Linked DNA regions of Coturnix japonica. The protein of the gene in region 2 binds, or shares a complex with, the protein of the main gene of each other region. Links are inferred from orthologs where the notes say so. Each region holds a gene or a part of one and is shown on either strand. Other genes may lie near its edges.

Region 1 (2,746 bases), on a different chromosome or scaffold from region 2:
GAGGCCGAGGGGAGACCTTATCGCCCTCTTCCAGTACCTGAAAGGTGCTTACAGTGAGAGTGGGGCAGGTCTCTTGTCACTGGTGAGAACTGACAGGAAGAGGGGAAATGGCCTCAAGTTGTGCCATGGCAAGTTTAGGTTGGATATTAGGAAACACTTCTTTTACAGAAGGGGTAGTTAAGTATTGGAATAGGCTCTCCAGGGAGGTGGTTGAGTCGCCGTCCCTGGATGTGTTTAAGAGCCGTTTGGATGTGGTGCTCAGGGTTGTTAGAGTTAGGGTACTATGGTTAGGCTGTGGTTGGACCTAATGATCTTCAAGGTCTTTTCCAACCTAGGTAATTCTATGATTCTGTGCACTTTCATTTGACTTGTATGACTTATACTTGACCTGTATAGAACTGAACATTTGGGTTTTTGTACTGTAACACTACAGGAAAGATTGGAAAAAATCAATGATGCTCTTCGCAGTGAATACGAGTGTCGCCGTCGTATGTTAATGAAGAGGCTAGATGTGACAGTGCAGTCTTTTGGCTGGTCTGACAGAGCAAAGGTGAGCTTGCTGCGTTCTTTGCTTCCTGTAGATGGGAGTCTGCTACAATTCTGCAGGTCTTCTTAGCAAATGTACCTACTATGTAAATACAATTCCATTATTGCTGTCTACTTTTCAAGCAGTTTCTCATTCTGGGTTGTAATATCTGACTGCTAGATGGTGTGGAAGGGGAAGAATTTGTGGCACAGGCCATCTTTTGTGAGCGAGTGTCTGTAGCTCCAAAAATAGAAATTCAAGCATCCTCTGCTGAGGTTTTTCACTCTAAGTCCACACCTCCCTTTTTCTTCCCTATATCCACCTGCCCCCAGTGAAGTGAAGTAAGAGGAATCCTCAACATTTCTCTTAGAAATGCAAGAGGAAGCCAAACACTGGGCCTTAACATAGATAACCTACAAGGTCAGCGAGATAATTGCAATGACTGTAAACTCATTTTCCCCTCAGTTTTTTTGTAGAACACTTGTTTAGAACTTCTCCAAAAAAGCTTTTGGGATGCAAAATGTTTTGGTATTGATGGTTTTTTTAAGCCAGCAAGCAAGTTATTTTCCATTTTTAATTCGGTTACTCTCTTGCCTTCCTCCCTTACAGCAGGGAGTCTAAATTTTAGTCTTAGATATCTTGTAAAGCATCAAAGAAAGTTTGCTGTCAGTGGATAGAAGAATCTCTTTTAACTGTGCTGAGTCTTAGCAGCATATTTTGTACGTCACCATATGAAGAGAATTGGTGACAGCTGGCACCACGTTTTGTAAGGTAACCCAGTTTTACAGACATTACAACCACTGCAACTTACTGAGACCTGTACAGTGTGTTTTACAGCCTACATACAGTAAGTGTGTTTATGTCTAGTAAGTTATGTTTGATTTTTATCATTAGGTAAAAACGGATGACATAGCACGAATCTATCAGCCCAAGCGCTATGCATTGTCTCCAAAGTCAACAGTAACATTAGCTCACCTTCTTGCCGCTCGAGAGGATTTATCAAAGATCATAAGAACAAGTAGTGGATCAACAAGAGAAAATACAGTTTGCGCAATCAACAAGGTAGCTTTTCTTTCTGGGATATGATAAAAGGAAAGATGGGTGACATGCAGACAGCATGTCTTTGTCTGTAAGAGAATTAGCCTCTGTCCTTTCAAGTTATTATATCCCTTTATTTTTCAATATAGGTTCTGATGGGGAGAGTACCTGACCGTGGAGGCAGACCAACAGAGATTGAACCACCTCCTCCTGAAATGCCTCCGTGGCAAAAAAGACAGGAGGGTGGTGGAAGAGGTGGCTGGGGAGGTGGAGGTGGTGGAGGGAGGGGCGGCTGGGGTGGTGGAGGGGGTAGAGGAGGTGGTGGGGGTGGCTTTGGGGGTGGGGGTGGGGGTGGCTTTGGAGGTGGGGGTGGGGGTTTCAGGGGCGGTGGAAGAGGTGGAGGTGGTTTCCAAGGCGGCAGGGGGGACTATGGTGGCAGGGGTGGTTATGGTGGCAGAGGGGGTTATGGAGATCCGTATGGTGGAAGAGGAGGTGGAGGTTATCGGAGATACTGAAAGAGTAGTAAACAAAATATAGTGGTGGTGTTTACTGGTATCAGGAATTTAGATAATGGTACCTTTGGTTTAGATTAGATTTAAGTATGACCACGTGAATCATTGCATTCGACCAATGTTGTCACTGAATTCTTTTAGTTAACTAAGCAGAACATTTATACTAAAATATCATGATTAGAGTCTTCGCTTTTTGTACTGGTTGTGTTTTGTTGTTTTTTTTTTAATTATGTTCATTTATTTAAAATAAGCCTCAGAAAACAGAATAAAAACCTTTTTAAAGAAACAGAATAAAAATGACGTTCAGGCTTCTCTAATTATTCATTGTTGCATGTGAATTCTCCTGCTCCAAAAGCTGGATACAAAAAAAAAAAAGAACTAAAAAATCAGACCTAAGAACTTGAGGGAGACACTTCTGAAAGTCCGGACTGCTGCTCTTGTGCTTTTTTCCTTATCCAGTTTTTACATGGGACATATTGGAGAACTTCAGTTTCAAGTTGTCACTTAAGGCTTTGGTCAGAGTTATTCAGGGAGCTTTCCTTTTCTTTCAGAACTTGACATAAAAGTAACATCCTGAATTACTTCTCTATTGATACTAGTAAAATTAGGTGGCTTTGTGTGTTTGTAAATACATCGGAAATTAACCGAAGGTCAGAGCATGGACCACAAA
Region 2 (4,001 bases):
CCTACCCCCAGATACCTCCAGCAGTTCCCCTGCCTTCCTTTAAGAGACTCTAACAGCCTCCCCAGCGCACAGTTGGAGATGCATATACACTCTTTGGAAGCAGAATGTTGTGGAAGATTAGGATGAAAGAGTGCTTAAAGTGAAACTATATTTAGTTCTCTGTGGGGAGGAGGGCTTTGCATTTCAAAAAGGAGAACGAAGCTGGAAGAAGAAAAGCATCAAAATCAAAGACGTGAAGCATTTTCTTGGTGATAAGCAGCACTTTCCCCACATTAAAGGTGTCTCTGGGGTTTGCAGACGAGACAAGGAGTCACACGGAGCCTTACTTCTGCAAGGAGTACATCCAGAACGCACCCTCACCTCGTCACATCGGGGAGCCACTGCGCAGTCAGGCTGGGCCACTCCAGAGCGTGGGTCATTACCAAGTCATATAAGAAGGGTGTGTTCTTCTTCCATATCTTATACTCCTCGTTGATCACACGTTCTTCCACTGCGTCATCAAAGGCTGCTGAAGGGTTCATGAAAGCAATGCGGGATGTTAGCGTTTATCAGGACAGGCACAACACACACAGAGATGGGTGGGCACTCAATAACGGGGCACTCAATAATGGAGCACTCAATAACGGGGCCCTCACTCAATAACGGGCCCCACCACACGCAGCTGTTTATCACCCAACGTTGCTGCGGGACACGCCGCCCCCCCCGCCCGCAGCCCCTCGCAGTGTCAACGTAGCGACCCGTTGTAACCCGTTGTAACAGGCCGGTCCCTGCTGTTTCCCCCAGCGCCCCGCAGGCCGCACGGGACGCCCCCCGCCCCAGGGCACGGCCCAGCGCCCCCTGCCGGAGCCCCCCCGCCATCACTGCGCACGGCGCCGGCCGATGGAGGCGGGGGGGGCGGGCAGTGAGGCCTGAGGCCTCTCGGAGCCGAGTGAAGGCCGCAGCGCCCAGGCCGCGCCGCCGGGCCTTACCTTCCTTGTCCGCCATTGTGGGCGGCGGGATGAGGCTGCGCTGCGCGAGGCGGGCGCTGCTGGCTCCGCTCCGGACGCGGCTCTATTGTTTCCTGCCCCCGCTCCCTGCCGCTCCCGCGCCGCGCACCCCTTCGCGCGCCAACACTGACCAATCCCCGCCCGCCGCCGGGAGGCTTCCGCCAATCGGAGAGAGGCAAGGGGCGGGAACGAGGGGCAGGAGAGCGCGCTCGGCGGTCACGTGTGAGGGCGGCCATTTCCGCGGAGCCATTTCCGGACGGAGCGGGTGGGCGGCTCTTAAAGGGACAGTGCCCCGGTGAGTGCGGTCTGCGCGGGGGGGGGGGGGGTCTGCAGGATGGCACCGTGAGCCGGCCCCGAGCTGCCCCTGAGCTCTGTCCTACCGGTTACCGGTCGCTTAATGGGTCTCTGTGACCCGCCCCGTTCCCGGTTTGTGGCTCCGTTCACACTCAGCCCTGTGCTCTTTCGGCCTTATTCCCTCCCAGGAGCGTTTCCCAGCTCGCAGGTCTCGGTGCTGATCTGCGAACAGAACCCGGAGATCCCGTGTGGGATCGTCCCATGGCCGGCAGTGAGAGCTGCTCCTATGGGAAAAGCCACGGTGGACTCACGTGGGATGTCGGGAAATAATTACCCTGAAGTTAATGGGGCGCTGCAGCCGGTCTGATGTGTTTGCGAGGGAGAGTCGGTGTGGAACCGACTGGTGGGATCCACTGGGTGGGATTGAAGTGCTCCATAACGATGTGCTGTGCCCCATAATAATGTGCTGTGCCCCATAATAATGTGCTGTGCCCCATAACGACATGCTGTGCCCCATCACAACGTGCTGTGCCCCATAACGTGCTGTGCCCCATAAGGTGCTGTGCCCCATAACAATGTGCTGTGCCCCATCATGTGCCATGACACACAGCAGGCTGTGTACCCTGTGCAGTGAAGCTCCAAAGCCAAAGTTACCCGTGTAACTTACTGTAGAGCTGGTAGAATTATGTCCTCGTAGATGCAGTATTTTATTGCTGGAGGGTGATTCACACGGAAGGATCAGGGTTCCTCCCTGCAGAGGCTGAAGGGCACACTGTTGGTGCATGCTCTCGGTGCACACTGTTGGTGCATTGCACACTGTCAGTGCACACTGTTGGTGCATGCTCTCAGTGCACACTGTTGGTGCATTGCACACTGTCAGTGCTCGCTGTCGGTGCGGTGCTGGGTGTCACTGCTGTGTGCCGGCAGTGTGAGCAGCACAGCACTGAACTCTGTGCTTCTAATCTTGTTTTCATGCACAGCCTGTGTGCAGCTGCTCCCCATCGGCTGCTGCTGAGAGCCCCAGCTGGAAGCAGCTCTCCTGTCCAGCCCAGCAACACCCTGCAGTGGCAGTGGCCATGTTCAGTGTGAGCAGGAAGTGAGCGCAGCGATGGCAGGCGAGGAGCGGGACTACAACCTGACGGAGGAGCAGAAGGCTGTGAAGGCCAAGTACCCACCGCTCACCAAGAAGTACGAATGTGAGTGACACTGATACACTGTGTGTGTGTGTGTGTGTGTGTAAGAGGGAAATGGGAGGAGCTCTTTAGGTGCTTGTGGGGTTTCGTACTGTGCCAGTGTCTGTGTTCAGGCTGTGGGATGCATCTGGCGTTGGATAATAGAGCGGAGATAACTGCAATTGCTGTTATTGCACACAGCTCCTTCTCTGCCCCAAGTGCCTTCTAAGTGGCTGTCAGCACAAGGGCTGCCTTGGGCACAGCAGAGTGTGTGTCTGTTGGAGGGACGGAGCAGGAGCACGGTGACACATTACAACCATTAACGTTGTTTCCATAATTGGCAAAGGTTTTCTCTTATATTCACTGGAATTTGTTTGCTTTAGTGACAGTTGTTGAGGAGCAGTTCATGTGTGTGAGCTCTGAGCAGCCTCACAATGAACCTCCAGCTGCAGCAGTTGCAGGGCACACTGTGCTCTATGTCCCAGGGTGGCTGTCTCTAACACTATGGCTTTATTTTGCATTTCTCTGGTTCCTCTAAAGGAATGTAAATGGTGTTTGTGTAAAACTTGACACACACTTGGGATGTTAAGCCTGGTTAAAGGCTTTCACTGCAGTTAACCTGCAGAGCCTGTTGCATTACGGTAACCACACACAGTGCTGTACGTGTGGGGGCTTCTGCTGAGCAGAAATAATCCAAGATTTCATCTGTGCTGTTGTTTCTATGGTACTAGAAAATAGACACGCAGTTTTATGTCTCAAGTTTAAGTCATTGTTATAACATTGATATCCAACACTTCTAATCCTCTTTTGAAGTTCTATTTGCTGATGCTGTGCCTTTCTTTTCTTTCCCTCCCCAGATCTGGATCACACAGCTGACGTGCAGTAAGTCTGGGCTGCTCCCACTGCTGGGGGTGCACGGGGCCACACAGTGTATTTCTGATGCACTATTCTTGTGGTGCTTAAGCCTCTGTTATTGGAAATCTAGTCAACTCCTGCCCTTACAGCGCGTTTCATCTCAGCAGCACTCCGTCATAGACACCCATTTACATTACAAAGGGCATTCCTCTTGTCTGGTGAAATAAGAATTTTCCTTTTTCTCCTAAGAAATACTTCTCACATCCTGTAGGAAGAAAAATCTCCATAATCTCCCCATACATGTAAGCTCAGACAAGCATTTCTGTGCAATGACCTCCTTTGCATTTGTTCTTACATTCGTATTTCTCGCCTGCGTAGTACATTGGGGTTTTATGGTTACAGAGCAGTGAGTTACCCCGTGTCTCTCTAGGCTGCACGCATGGGGAGACACTTTGGAAGAAGCCTTTGAGCAGTGCGTCATGGCCATGTTTGGGTACATGACTGATACAGGGACTGTGGAGCCTCTGGACACTGTCGAAGTAGAAGCAGAAGGTAAAAACTGCACTGACTTCTCATAGTGGAGCTGTGGGAACCCTATTAGTGGAATGTACCAAAATCCTCTGAGTCTTCTGATGTAGTTTTGTAGTAGTTAATTATAATTAAACTAAGGATCAGTGATCTGAATCTTATAGTA

The links. Proteins that work in one complex are often made in the same cells at the same time.
Region 1: ZBTB8OS (region 2) and FAM98B share a complex: the UniProt entries of both Homo sapiens proteins name them as parts of the tRNA-splicing ligase complex. The link is inferred for Coturnix japonica from reciprocal best matches to the Homo sapiens genes ZBTB8OS and FAM98B.

Annotation. Positions count from the first base shown.
Region 1 is NC_029520.1:25,938,904-25,941,649, forward strand, and holds part of FAM98B (protein FAM98B), read left to right. Parts: intron 1-433; coding exon 434-550; intron 551-1,420; coding exon 1,421-1,588; intron 1,589-1,713; coding exon 1,714-2,079; 3' UTR 2,080-2,746. UniProt on the Homo sapiens protein: Positively stimulates PRMT1-induced protein arginine dimethylated arginine methylation.
Region 2 is NC_029538.1:4,585,713-4,589,713, reverse strand, and holds the start of ZBTB8OS (protein archease), read left to right. Parts: upstream 1-1,201; 5' UTR 1,202-1,281; intron 1,282-2,260; 5' UTR 2,261-2,388; coding exon 2,389-2,476; intron 2,477-3,309; coding exon 3,310-3,334; intron 3,335-3,737; coding exon 3,738-3,859; intron 3,860-4,001. Other genes in the region: histone-binding protein RBBP4, read right to left, coding at 361-508, 969-984. UniProt on the Homo sapiens protein: Component of the tRNA-splicing ligase complex required to facilitate the enzymatic turnover of catalytic subunit RTCB. Together with DDX1, acts by facilitating the guanylylation of RTCB, a key intermediate step in tRNA ligation.